Linked DNA regions of Cricetulus griseus. The protein of the gene in region 1 interacts with the protein of each later gene in a biochemical or structural test. Links are inferred from orthologs where the notes say so. Each region holds a gene or a part of one and is shown on either strand. Other genes may lie near its edges. The genes, in order: CCAAT/enhancer-binding protein alpha, Smarca4 and Trib1.

Region 1 (4,686 bases):
CTCTTAGCTAGGAACTTTCTCACTGCGTTCCCTTTCCCCTGGCGGGGTGGTGGGGGGACGACAAACAAACACTATTTTTAGCTTAGTAGAAAGCTGGAGATCCCACTTGGCTTTGAAGGGTTTCTCTCCAGGGGACACTCCACAGGTGCCTGGTGTATAAATGGGTGGCGCATCTGGCCCCTCCGCTCACACCAGGGTTATTTATTTAGTGTATCTGCTTTTTTTACGCTCTCGGTTCAAAAGCATCAAGCTAAAAATATCTTGTTTATGCGCTCTGGCCCGAAAATGAAGCAGTTGGGTCATTAATCACCGAGAATATGTTGAATGGGAATTTGATTAAAGGACGGGTGCGTCCTCCAGACGAAGTCGGTTCTCTACTGTAACTAACCACAGTGGAAAGCACAGCGGGCCTCCCCAACTGAGTTTTTTAGCCGCGCCTCCTTGAGCCTCCTGGGAGGATCGCAGCGCCTTTCCTGGGCTAAGAGGGTCATTGCACTGGGGGTCTTGACCTGGGCACCCTGGGGTTTCAGGAAGAGGGACCCCCCCAGCCTGGCATGCAGACAAACGGGGCTCGAGAAGACGTCAGGCCCCAGCTCAGGAAGCCGCAAAAGGCTCCTCGGGGTGCAGAAAGCAGAGATTTGGGTGCTCACCAGGCCCCATCTGCCCCCGACCTCCACGGCCGCGATCCAGGTGGAGAATGAGCCCGTCGCCAACGCCACGTGGCTGGGGAGACTATGCAGGCAAACTCCTACCCAAGCTGCGAGCCTGCAGGCGGCGCGGCCCCGAGGATCCCCGGGACCCGACAGGGTACTCCCAGGGGGTGCTCAGACTCCGTAGCCAGGGACTGGACACTCAGGCGACGGAGATTGGCGCCCACCCGAATGACAGGAGGGAAAGAAACCTGTGGCTTTAGGCTCCTGACTAAGGATCCCGCTTGGGGATCCCGCTCACCTCCTCTCTGTCTCTGTCTTTCTCTCTCCCTCCCTCTCTCTCCCACACCCTGCCCTCTCCCCGCCCCCGCGCGCTTGCCCTGGTGTCCTGTTCCCCGAGTCTCGGAGGACCCACCCGCCGGTCCCGAGGTCCCAAGCGCTCGGCTAGAGGCTCCACACCAGGCAGCAGCGCCCGCCTTGGAAGCCTAGCAACCCCGGCGCTCTGGCCGGGAGACGTAATTAAAAAGAAAGTTTTCCAGCCGGAGCGGATGGACCGGCCAGGTCCTCGGGACTCCCGGGTTAGCGGCCGCCTTCGCTCCCTGCTGGGTCCTAGCGCCCTGCTCGGCGGATCCCGCGGGACCCCGGGGTAGGGAGGCTGGCTGGGCGGGGAAGAGGCGCCCCGCCTGGAATAATCAGCGGGGTCGCCTGGAGTGGAGAGAGAGAGACACACACAATCTCAGCGCTCCGGCCCCTGCCACTCTGCGGCGCGCGCCAGGTCGCCGCTCCAAAGCAAGTCACAAAGCAGCTAGGTCCCTGGCTGGGGGGGGGGGGGGGACAGGCCTAGTCCTAGCCTTTAAGACCAGTCTGCACCCCGGTAGCTCAAGACGAATATTCCCTCTCCACCCCCTACCCCTACCCCTCCCTGCTCGGCCTCTGGATGCTCCCGGGCTCCCCGGTGTTGGCTGGAAGCGGGTGACTTGGGCAGGCTTGCAGGAGGGGCGCCCAGCCGCGGACCACGTGTGTGCGGGGGCGACAGCGCCGCCAGGGTGGGGCCGAGCGCAGGCCGGGCTGCCTCGCAGCGCAGGAGGCAGTGGGCGTTGCGCCACCGCCTCTCCCCCTGCACGGTGCTCCCGCCCCGCTCGCCGCCTGGGAGAAACACAGAGGGCGAGCGAGAGACAGACAGCGGGCTCTAAGACCCAGCAGGCGCCCTGCTGCCCTCGCCCTGGGCCCGGGACCCTCTTGGACACCAGGGGGCGACGTCCGATCCCCCTATAAGAGCGGATCGCGCGCGGGCCTGACCATTCGCGACCCGGAGCTGCGCGGGGCGCGCGAGCGAGTCGGGGGCTCCGGCGGGGCGGGCGGCGAGCGGGCGGCGGTGAGCGGGCGAGCGGCGGCGGAGGCAGCGGCGCCACGCGCAGGCTGGAGGCCGCCGTGAGGCTCGCCATGCCGGGAGAACTCTAACTCCTCCATGGAGCCGGCCGACTTCTACGAGGCGGAGCCGCGGCCCCCGATGAGCAGCCACCTCCAGAGTCCCCCGCACGCGCCCACCAGCAGCAGCAGCAGCAGCAGTAGCAGCGCCGCCTTCGGCTTCCCCCGGGGCGCGGGCCCCGCGCCTCCCCCAGCCCTACCTGCTGCCCCGGAGCCGCTGGGCGGCATCTGCGAGCACGAGACGTCCATAGACATCAGCGCTTACATCGACCCGGCCGCCTTCAACGACGAGTTCCTGGCCGATCTCTTCCAGCACAGCCGGCAGCAGGAGAAGGCCAAGGCGGCCGCGGGCCCCGCGGGTGGCGGCGGCGGCGGCGGCGGTGACTTTGACTACCCGGGCGCCCCGACGGGCCCCGGCGGCGCGGTCATGTCCGCGGGGGCGCACGGGCCCCCTCCGGGCTACGGCTGCACGGCGGCCGGCTACCTGGACGGCAGGCTGGAGCCCCTGTACGAGCGCGTCGGGGCGCCGGCGCTGCGGCCGCTGGTGATCAAGCAGGAGCCCCGCGAGGAGGACGAGGCCAAGCAGCTGGCGCTGGCCGGCCTCTTCCCCTACCAGCCGCCGCCGCCGCCGCCGCCGGTGCACCCGCACGCGTCTCCCGCGCACCTGGCCGCCCCGCACCTGCAGTTCCAGATCGCGCACTGCGGCCAGACCACCATGCACCTGCAGCCCGGCCACCCCACGCCGCCGCCCACGCCCGTGCCCAGCCCGCACCCCGCGCCCGCTTTGGGGGCTGCGGGCCTGCCCGCCCCCGGGGGTGCGCTCAAGGGTTTGGCTGGCGCGCACCCCGACCTCCGCCCCGGGGGCGCCGGGGGCGCCGGCGGCGCAGGCGCGGGCAAGGCCAAGAAGTCGGTGGACAAGAACAGCAACGAGTACCGGGTGCGGCGGGAACGCAACAACATCGCGGTGCGCAAGAGCCGCGACAAAGCCAAGCAGCGCAACGTGGAGACGCAGCAGAAGGTGCTGGAGCTGACCAGTGACAATGACCGCCTGCGCAAGCGGGTGGAGCAGCTGAGCCGGGAACTGGACACGCTGCGGGGCATCTTCCGCCAGCTGCCCGAGAGCTCCCTGGTCAAGGCCATGGGCAACTGCGCGTGAGGCGCGCGGCTGCGGGACCCCACCGCCTTTGGGCCGGCCACCCCACCCCACCCCTGGCCGGGGACCCGGAGAATGAGTTCGGGTCGCTGCATCTCCAGGCTGCCCCGGGCCCGTGAAAGCCAGGACTAGGAGATGGCGGTGTTGTCGTCTGAGAGCTTGGCCTACTCCGCGTGTCCCCTCCCTTCCTCTGAGCCGGGACTCGGTGCGTCTAAGATGAGGGAGTCAGGCCGCAGTTTTTCTCCTGGAGCCCGGGAGACTTGTCCGCGGAGCTGAGCCGGGAGCCCGCCCGGCCGTTCTAGTATTAAGTAAGGAAGTCACCCTGTGCCTTGGATACTCAGAACTCGCTCCTTTTCCTACCGAGTAGGGGGAGCACACATGTGCCTTGATATTTTATTTGGAGGATCCCTGCCTTCTCCGAGGCTGCGGCAGGCCCCCCCCCATGAGAGCATGAAGGGTGCAGGCCCAGGGCAGGAGAAAGAAGATTCAGGAAGCTGAGATCCCGGCAGGCAGCGCTCCGCTGCTGCCCCTCCGTCCCTGTCCTTAGAGGGGAGGGACTTAGGGAGTTGGGGATTTGAGTCTGTAAGAGTACCCCTCCCGCACCCCTCCCCCTCATCCATTTGGAGGTGCACGGTTCTTACTTTTCCCACCTCCACCTTTACTCCGCACCTCAGCTTGCAACAGGCTAAGTTTCCTGGGTGAGTTCGTGGAGAATGGGGGGCGCCACCCCCAGCTAGACCAGAAAGCTAGGCTGTAAGTTAGCCATGTGATTAAGGGAGTAGTGGGAGACGGGAACCTAAGTTTCTGGTCTTGGGGGGAGAGGGGATGAAAGGACACCGGGACCATCAGCCTTGTGTGTACTGTATGTCGCCAGCCGCTGTTGCTGAAGGAACTTGAAGCACAATCGATCCATCCCAGAGGGACTGGAGTTATGACAAGCTTCCCAAATATTTTGCTTTATCATCCGATATCAACACTTGTATCTGGTCTCTGTGTCCCAGCGGTGCCTTGTGCAATGTCAATGTCCACGTCTATGCTAAACCACCATTTTATTTGGTCCTTTTGTTTTGTTTTGGTTTTGCTCAGATTCTTGCCAAAATGAGACTCTTCGCTAGCGGCTGGGGGAAGAAGCTCGGGCCCTCTTTCCTTTTTGGTTTGGGGATTTTTTTTTTTTCTTTTGCTCCCGGAGGACCACCACCCTCCCTCCAGTTTTCCCAGGGTGTCGTTGTGGGTCTTAGCTTCTTCCAGCTGAGACTACTGTATACACAGGCATCCTCCCCCGCCCCCACCCTCAGGCCCTGGCTCTGGGTCTGGAAAGAAGGTCACCTCCAGCCAATTCGTGCACACCCCTGTGGCTGGGAGCAGGGGTGGACTGCTACCTTCTCTTCTTTGGGGGGAGGGGGCACACACAAAGTTTCATGCTAGATGTCGTATGTATTATATCTATAATATAAA
Region 2 (4,586 bases), on another chromosome or scaffold:
AGGCTGCTTGCCTCTGTTCTGTTGTAACTGGAGTCCCTTTCTCAGGTGTCATATCTCTTACAGTTGGGCTGGGTCTCCCTCCTTTGAAGGACAGATTTTTTTTTTTTTTTTTTAGATTTATTTATTATGTATACAATGTTCTGTCTGCATGTGTCCCTGCAGGCCAGAAGAGGGCACCAGACTTCATGGATGGCTGTGAGCCACCATGTGGTTGCTGGGAATTGAACTCAGGACCTCTGGAAGAACGGGCAGTGCTCTTAATCCCTGAGCCATCTCTCCAGCCCAAAGGACAGATTCTTTACAGACTCTAGCTTTAAAGACAGAGACCAGGTGATTACTTGCAGATGGATAGTCCTCACCGCTTGTCCTTTTTCTGTCTCTGCCCAGGCTGCAGGCTCGAATTGCACATCGAATTCAGGAACTTGAAAATCTTCCTGGGTCTCTGGCTGGGGACCTGCGAACCAAAGCAACCATTGAACTCAAGGCCCTTAGGTTGCTGAACTTCCAGAGGCAGGTGGGTCTGGTGGCCTCAACTCTGGGCTCATGAGGCCTTTTCTGCCAGTGAAAATGCTGGGTTCTCAGAATGCTTTGAGGGATGTTATCTGGGATACCTGTGTGGTTGGGGCTATCAGGGTCCCAGGAGAGTTGGTTCACTATCATGGCCCACACTTCAGTAAGACCTGGCCATGCATATCCTGTGCATACACAAGTGTGGGCTCCTGAAAGGCAGGAGGCTTGTTGAGTCTCTTCCTGAGGTTTCTGTGCTTTTACACATCCCCCCCAGGAGCTGTGTGTGTGGCTGTGGAAAAGTTTAGATCTCTCATGTTCTGCTCTTTGCTTGTCTCACCTGTGGTGCTTCTCAGGTGCCCTGTGCATTCCAGGCAGTTTGTTGCAATATCATCTGCCCAGCATGTGGTCATCCCTTGAGTATCACCACAGACATCACAAACCCATCATACCTGATGGCAGTGTCTTCTTTTGTATCCTAAAGCTGCGTCAGGAGGTGGTGGTATGCATGCGCAGAGACACAGCCCTAGAGACAGCCCTCAATGCCAAGGCCTACAAGCGCAGCAAGCGGCAGTCACTGCGGGAGGCCCGCATCACTGAAAAGCTAGAGAAGCAGCAGAAGATTGAGCAGGAACGCAAGCGCCGCCAGAAGCACCAGGTGGGTCCGCCACAGCACCTTGCAGGGTACACTCTGCTGGTCATCTTCCTGTGGCTCAGCATAAGAGTCCCTGGGCATGGGCACAGTGTGTCAGTACACAGGCTAAACAGTGAGAGGGGATGAGCAGTGGTCACATTGGGCAAGTAAGGGATGGGAAAATATAGTAAGGACAAAGAAGAAGCAGCCACCTCAGGTAAAAAGGGGGTCAGTGAAGTTTCCATGATGAGAGACGGAGAGATTTGACAAGGGTGCCAGACTGAGGAGGGGCAGTAGCCCTGGGACTGGAACATGCTTCCATATTTCATCTTGAATCAAAGATTGGGGTAGCTGAGTGAGCCATAGGGTGCACTGGGGAGGGTGAGTGAGGATCCTGCAGGGTATAGAGTCTTTGGGCTTTTGCTTTCAGCAAGGGGAAACTACAAGCAGCTGAATTATTACAAAGTCCATCAAGAAAATGAAAATCTACAGTCAAGTAGGCTTTCAGATGATTCCAGTCTGCTCATTTGTTTTGTTGTGTATGATTTAAAAATAGATTTAGATTTCTTTTATGCATATTTGTTTAAACTGCCTATATACACATCACATGCACGTACCCAAGGAGGTCAGGAAATGAGAGCATTATATTCCCTGGGATTGGAGTTACAGGTGATTGTTAGCTACCATGTGGATGCTGGGAATTGAACCCAGGTCCTCTGCAAGAGCAACAAGTGCTCTTAACCACTGAGTCATCTTCCAGCCTTGTTTGTTTGTTTGTTTTTGAAACAGAGTTTTGCTGTCTAACCCTGAATGTTGTAGTACTCTTGTGTAACCCAGACTGGCCTCAGACTCAACAGTCTTCCTGCCTCACCTTTCTGTGGGCTAGGATTATAGGTATGGACCACCTTGCTGGGGCTGGTTGTTCATTCATAGTTTCTACATTTTCAAAGTAATGACTTTTATTCCAGGATGACCATGGTGTGGGTTTGTAATCTTTATACTCAGAGACAAAGGCAGAAGTATCACAGGATTAAGGGCAACCTGAGCCCAAGGTGTAGCTCATTGATAGAGTGCTTGCCCAGGACACACCACACGGCCATAAGAAAATTTAAAGTCGGTGCTCAGAGCTGGGTGGTGGTGGCACCCGCCTTTAATCCCAGCACTTGGAAGGCAGAGGCAGGTGGATCTCTGAGAGTTTGAGGCCAGCCTGGTCTACAAAGTGAGTTCTAGGACAGCTCAGAAAGCAGGATGTGATGGGAGCTTGTTTGGAAGTTGATTTACAGTGTCAAGTTTCCCCCGGCAAGAGGCTGGCTCCCTTGGACCAGGTGTAGTGGCCCTTGATCCCAGCACCCAGGAGGCAGAGGCAGGTTGTTCTCTGAGTTTGAGGCTAGTCTGGTCCACATAGTGAGTTCCAGGGCAGCCAGGGCTATATAATGAGACCTCACAAGGGGGGGGTGTTCACTTGATACACCCACCTGTTGTGTCCAAGGGGTCCTGTCATTGCACAGGGGCCAGCAGATAATTTTGTCATAGGCAGAACTGAATATGGTAGCCTTATTATCTGGACAGTACCCCTTTCCATTTTCTTTGAGGAGCTAGCAATGGAATCCTGAGCTTCAGGTATGCTAAAGAAGTGCTCTGCTGCTGAGCCAGTTCTAGACACTCCTTTGTCTTTAAAAAGCTGTGGGTACAGTTGTACCTTACTGAGCTGAGACCTAGCCACTCCTCCACGATGTCTCTTCTGCAGGAGTACCTCAACAGCATCCTGCAGCATGCCAAGGACTTCAGGGAGTATCACAGATCAGTCACAGGCAAACTCCAGAAACTCACCAAGGCTGTGGCTACCTACCATGCAAATACTGAGCGGGAGCAGAAGAAAGAAAATGAGCGCATTGAGAAGGAGCGAATGCGGAGGCTTATGGTATCTATCAGTTTCTTGGTTTTGGTCACTGGCGGGCCATGGGGTACAGCAAATTCTGGGTTATTCATCCAGGATCATTAGATGCTCTGTGACTTGGCTTAGAAGTAGAGCTGAAGGAAAGAGTCACATACATGGATATGGGAGGCAGAGGTCTGGGCCTTTGACTTTATTCCTTCTGACTCTTAGGGCAGGCTAGTTCTTGAATTCTCTGGCTGCCTCCTGCTCTGAGCCTCATGAGAGCCATGGAAGGTACCATGAAAACTATACCCAAATGAGTCCTTCTGATGTTTCATCATGGTGTAGCTGCTAGCTGCACAGATACTGTTACCTGCTCTGGGGACACAGAAGGGTGCAGAATGGTCCCTGTCTTCATGGGGCTCATGTTTGCCCTGGAAAGAACCAAACAGACATACTAGTCTTGGGTGGAGACAATTGAGGCAGGGCTGGGCTGGACAGCTATGAGACAGACTTGGAGCTGAGGTTGAGGGCTGCATCCAGTGCACAGTGCAGAGTGGTGTGGAGGCAAAAGAGTCCAAGGAGGAGAGGAGAAGGGAAGGAAGCAGGACACCAAACCCAAGGTACAGCCAGTTACCATTGGGGCCCTAGAACCTCGTAGTGCTGGGACAGGACACCAGGCCAAGAGCTTGCAAAGTTGCATCACGTGGGGCTTACAGGCCATCGGGAAGGAAATAGATTATAGAAGGAGTACCCAGGGAAAGTTTTCTGCGCTATAGTAGTTTTTCTTTTATTTGAAATAGGGTTTCATTATAACCCTTGCTAGCCTCCTTTATATAAGCTGGGCTTGAACTCAGAGCCCCCTGCTGCTGTCTCCCAAGTGCTGGGATTACAAGCATATTCATTCATTCATAAAAGGATGTATAAAGGTTGGGGGTTGGTGGCATACGCCTTTAATCCCAGCACTCGGGTGGCAGAGGCAGGCGAATCTCTGAGTTCGAGGCCATCCTGGTCTTCAGAGCGAGTGCCAGGATAGAGTCCAAAGCTACACAGAGAAACCTTTGTCTCAAAAAACCAAAAAAAAAAAAAAAAAAAAGGATGTATAAAGGTCAAGACAGATTTGTAGAGACGGTCCTAGATTACTTAGAGTGAGGGTGGGTTGAGATTCATACTGACAGGGCCGATATCAGATAAGAAGATTGGGATTTGTGATGTGGATTTTGGAGAAAGAGTCTAAAACTCACTCATGCCCTCTATGAATGGGTCATGACAGGACTATGTTGCCTGGCAGTTACCTCAGGGTCCAGCATGGGGCTTGGGGTGTAGTAGCAGTCATGCATGAGCTTCTGCAGTCCTCAAGTGTCCACCCTGCGGGCCTGTGTTCCGCCCTGCCTTGGTTTTACAGGCTGAAGATGAGGAGGGCTACCGAAAGCTCATTGACCAGAAGAAGGACAAACGTTTGGCCTACCTCCTGCAGCAGACGGACGAGTATGTGGCCAACCTCACAGAGTTGGTACGGCAGCACAAAGCTGCTCAGGTTGCCAAGGAGAAGAAGAAGAAAAAGAAAAA
Region 3 (4,686 bases), on another chromosome or scaffold:
TGTGGGTATTTTCTGAAGATGGAGCCGATGAGATGGCTAAAATCTCACCAGAAAATGTGAGCAAACCATTTCGGGGTGTGGGGTGAGGGTACCAAGGTTAAAACAGTGCAGGAATGCAGTGTGGTAGGGCTGGCTGGAATTCTGCAAACACAACAGCCTAACCAGCTCTGTCATGTCTTCTAGGCACAGCCCAGGCACTGATGGAAGCCAGGATTTGACCACCTCTTGGAGTCTGTGCTTTCCAGGACAGGTGAACACCTTTTCCCCGTTGGACTGACCTCCCTGACAAGAAAGCCTGAGCCTGGGACAGAAATAGAAGTGTATCTGTCATTAGGCAGCATCCTCAAAAGCGCCAAGGTGTCTCTAGGCTTCGCCATCCAACAGGGCAAAGAATGAACCAAGGTTGACCACAAACTTCCAGAAGCATGACTTAATACTAAACCAGGCAAGACCTGAGCCTTGGGTTTGGCTTGCACCTAACTGCATGACCTGTACCTTCAGTTTTTTTGGTTCCAAAGGGCCACAGGAGGTGCTGTGGCAGCTGCTCACCTCTCCTCCGTGGAGAAGACAAACTTCCTAAGCTTCAGGTCCCCCAGCACGATGGCCGACTGGTGGCAGTGGGCAACGGCGGAGACTATCTGCTTGAAGAGCCGAGCGGCCTCCTCTTCCCGAAGCCTTTTCCGGCTTCGCACATAGGAGTGCATGTCCCCAAAGTCCTTCTCGAAGAAGACGTAGGCCTTGGTCTCCCCAAGGATTACTTCCACGATGCCGGTAATGTTTCTGTGCGACGGCAGCTGGATGTAAGGCCTGATTTTGTCCTGGTAGTGTTTAATGGGAAACACCTGCGGAGATAAAGTGACCTGTTTAGGGGCCAGAAGTTCAGGGGCTGCCCGCCAGGTCCTACATGAAGCTGGGCTGAGGTCCTCAACCTTTGGATAGTCCATTCTCTCTGCCGTTTATGCAGCTCCAGCTGCTATGATGCCCTTAAAGCAAGTCACACCTTGGGATCCCGGCTAGCAACTTCCAAAGCCTACCCTGGTCCACACATACTTTTGTCTTTTAGGGGCCTGGTATCAGCTCCTGGGAGCCGAGCCTGACGTGGATTGGATCTTCCTAATAGATAAGGCTTGCTACAAGGTAGCTAAGGGAAGGGACCCCAGCATCCCTGCAAGGGTGAAAAGCAACAATGAAACACAGAAGGCTCAGCTCAGCACAGCCAAGGAATGTGGCGATTTCGCTGCCTCCAAGGGGAAGCAGAGGCAGCAAACATGTAGAGATGTCATTAGTCAGAGGGACTGATGACTTGGAGGGAGAGACTGACAAGGCTGCCTTAAGCAACCTTCCTATGGCTGTGACTCAGGTGGAGGCAGCCTGGGGTGTACCTTCCGACAGGAGGGGATGGGCACCTCAGAAAAGCCGTTTTCATCTGTTTACACGCCTCCCCCCACCTTAGTTGCCCCACCCCCAGAACGGAGGGCAAATCCTCTAAGAAGCTGCTGGCTGGTCTCTTTAAGGGCCTTTTGTTCACTCCGGTTACTCATATCCTAGACGCAACTGGAAATGGTGACACACGGGCTGTCACCATCTGGATTCAGCTATTATCTGCTCGGAGGAACTGGAAGGGGTTGCACAATGACCCAGACCCACCCCACCTCTGAGGTGGCTGCTCTGGTACCAACTGGGGGGGGGAATCCCTCTGCTGCTCTCTCCTCCCGCCCCACCCACCCCTCCACACAAGTTTCTCTTCCAAAACTGCTCTCATCCACCAAGAAAAAAAGGTTTTTTCCCCCCCTCTGGGCTTGACCACGCATCTGAGATTTCACGCGAGTAGACAGTAGGTGGCACCAGCAAGCGGGGAGAGGGGAGTTCAGGTGAGCTGCTGAAAACCCAGGAGCCACTCTTAACTCCAGGGGAATGAAAGCAGTCGGTGGGGGCTCTCGGTGGACCAGGGTGTGAGCGTCGCGCTCACCAAGCACAGACCGTCCACGGCTCCGCGCTCTCCAGGAGAGCCGGGCCATCCCCTATGGAGTTGTACTCCCCCTAAGGTTGCAATAAAAACTGGCGGACGCAAACTACAGCGAGTGGAAGCGAGAGCCCCTGGGAGCTCCTCAACACTCTTCTCAATCAGGCCTGGAGCCCCTCCCAGGCTTAAACCCCCGCAGGCCCGCGACTCCCTGGGGTGGGCTGTATTCTGGTTCCAGCCAGAACCCCCTGGGTAGAAGCCGGACACCGTGTCTGCAGAGCCTGTGCCGCGAACGTCCGGCTGAGAGCCTGCCAGCTGCTCCAAGCCGGGAGGAGGCACCCACTGCAGGGCGTCCGTCCAGGGCAGGGGGAGGAGGGGGGGATGAGAGCAGGGCAATGGCATGGCCCTGGAATCCATTGCAATTCCAAACTTAAATGGGACGCCACGCGCTAGCCACACTTGAGCGCCAAAGAAAAAAAGCACCGAGATGAACCCCTCCACTTGCCCTAGACCGCGGGTCCCTCAGCAGAACACTCCACAGGAAAGCCCTCAGGGGCGAAGCTGACCAAAACGCCCTCTTGATCCGACTTTTCAAAGCCCTTCCTTAGCGGCTCTGCCAACCCCAAAGCTCCGGCCGGGGCGCGATCCGGGGTAGCCAAGCCCTCGTGCCAGGCCCGCAGCCCTGGCCCCCGGGATGCTTACCTTGCAGCGCAGCTCGCGGCCGGTGTGGATGCACAGCGCCCGGGACACATGCTCGCGCTCGGCTAGGGGCAGCAGCAGGTAGTCGGCGATGCGGCTGGGCCCGGGTGCGCTCGCACAGCTGCCGCCGCCGCCGGTCCCCTGAGCGGAGGGCGGAGGCTGCGGGCTGCAGGGCGAGCCCGGGGGACTGAGGTAGTCGGGGGGGCTCGAGCACTCGGAGAGGCGCGGACACTTGGCCGCCACGGCCGCCGCGTCGTCCGCGTCCAGCAGCCGTTTGGCCGGGGTAGCCCGGGCGGCCGGGAAGAGCAGAGCCGGAGCCGAGCGGGGCTGCGAGGCGCCGCCGAGTGCAAAGCGCACGGGACCGACCCGCATCGCGGCCCTGGCCGGAGCGGCCCCGGCTTTGGAAATCCCGGGCTCGGCGCTGCGATTCCTTCCAGCCCTCGGGATGCCGTTGGCAGACGGAGCTCCGATCGGTCCCCGAGAGGTGCGCGACGACAGCCGTTCCCGGACGCCGGCGTCTTCCACACGAGGACCACGCTGGCCACGCGTCCGGGCTGGGGAGGGAGGCCACCCGGGGTCCCCAGACTCCCGCGGCCACCAGGTCTGGGCGCCTCGCGGGCGGCGGCGGCGGCGATCGGGGCCGCTATTGTTGCCGACGCTGGGGGCTGAGTCCCGGGACGGGGAGGCGGCCCGGCTTCCCCGGCTTCCCCGGGTTCCGGGGCGCTGGAGTCTGGAGGATCGGATTCCGCAGGCTCGGTGGCTTCCCGGAGCCAAGGCACTCACTTCCAAAAGCAATTAAGTGGGGAGTAGAAGCCGGCACAACTTTGCCGCGCCGCTCGGGATCCTGCGCGCTCCGGGAGTGCGAGCGGGCGGGCGGGCGGTGGAGCGTGCGAGCCGCGCTCAGAGAGAGAGTGGCTGGATGTGAGTGTGTGCGCCGCACTGATGCCGGCCTGTGCGCTCCTTCTCCTTTTCCTCCACCTCCTCCGCCTCCCGGTGACTCACGCTGTATACACACACACACACTCACACTCACACACACACTCACACACACACTCACAGGCCGGGCTGTGTAAACAGTTGGGAAGCCGGGTTGTGCAATGAGGTGGCTGCGACGACTCCAGCCCCGTCGCCCCGGCTCACAGTCACCGGAGCGGAGGGAGGAGACTGGGGAGGGGAGGGGGGGAAGGAGGGGTGATGGAGTGGGAAGCGGGGGACAGCGGGGGTGGCCGGAGGCCCGGGGATGCTCCCGACTGCGCGCGCCTGGGCGCAGGTGGGAACGTCCGTCCGTCCGTCCGGGGCCGTCTTGGGCGCGCGCGCAGGCATGCACGCTTGCACGCTTGCACGCTTGCACGCGCCCCCCGGGGCTAGGCTGGGCGGCAGGCTGCGCGCACCCGAGCGCTGGCCCCGCGGGCTCGGCGGCCCGGAGCCGAAGGAGGGGGGCGGAGGAGAAGCTCCCGTGACGTCAGGGTCCCGGGGAAGTGGGCGGGGCTGGGCGGGGGCGAGGCGGCCGCTGATTGGCGCGCGCGCACCATTCACACAACACAATGGAGTGCGAGCTCCCGGCCGGCGCGCGGCTCCCCTCCGTCCGGGCTCGGCGGGAGCCGCTGGCTGCAGCCCCGGTGGGGACGTCCCCCGTGGCTCTTGCACTCCGGGAGCTCCCGGTGGAGCTGCGGGCGCCGCCGAGTCGCGGCTGCAGCCCGGAGGAAGGGGCGAGAGGGAAGGTGATGCATTCCATTTGCAGTCATTCACCACCACCCCACCCCACCCCCCCACGCGGTAGTTCCGGGGAAAGACCTGTGCGTGGTAGTGAGTGTGGCTTTTTTTTTTTTCTCTCTCTCTCCCCCTTCCTTTTCCTGCCTCCTCCCGGCTCTAATCCCCAGCGTCTGTTCGCTTCCACAAATAGAACCTTCTGTTGGATGAAATAAAAGCAAACACTGGGCCTTCTGCTCTGCCTCCACCTCCACGCCCCTCCCGCTCGCCCGCTCGCCCGCCCCGATTTGCACGGAAATAGCTTCTTCTCCAGG

The links.
Region 2: the proteins of CCAAT/enhancer-binding protein alpha (region 1) and Smarca4 form a complex in vitro, tested with the Homo sapiens proteins (2 studies listed by BioGRID, with this or other methods). The link is inferred for Cricetulus griseus from reciprocal best matches to the Homo sapiens genes CEBPA and SMARCA4.
Region 3: the proteins of CCAAT/enhancer-binding protein alpha (region 1) and Trib1 form a complex in vitro, tested with the Homo sapiens proteins (2 studies listed by BioGRID and IntAct, with this or other methods). The link is inferred for Cricetulus griseus from reciprocal best matches to the Homo sapiens genes CEBPA and TRIB1.

What each region holds. Positions count from the first base shown.
Region 1 is NC_048602.1:3,363,856-3,368,541, reverse strand, and holds the start of CCAAT/enhancer-binding protein alpha, read left to right. Parts: upstream 1-1,994; 5' UTR 1,995-2,118; coding exon 2,119-3,234; 3' UTR 3,235-4,686. UniProt on the Homo sapiens protein: Transcription factor that coordinates proliferation arrest and the differentiation of myeloid progenitors, adipocytes, hepatocytes, and cells of the lung and the placenta.
Region 2 is NC_048597.1:134,522,281-134,526,866, forward strand, and holds part of Smarca4 (transcription activator BRG1), read left to right. Parts: intron 1-387; coding exon 388-514; intron 515-991; coding exon 992-1,165; intron 1,166-2,888; coding exon 2,889-3,062; intron 3,063-4,422; coding exon 4,423-4,586. UniProt on the Homo sapiens protein: ATPase involved in transcriptional activation and repression of select genes by chromatin remodeling (alteration of DNA-nucleosome topology).
Region 3 is NC_048603.1:27,988,096-27,992,781, forward strand, and holds the start of Trib1 (tribbles homolog 1), read right to left. Parts: upstream 3,066-4,686; 5' UTR 3,035-3,065; coding exon 2,666-3,034; intron 843-2,665; coding exon 550-842; intron 1-549. UniProt on the Homo sapiens protein: Adapter protein involved in protein degradation by interacting with COP1 ubiquitin ligase. The COP1-binding motif is masked by autoinhibitory interactions with the protein kinase domain.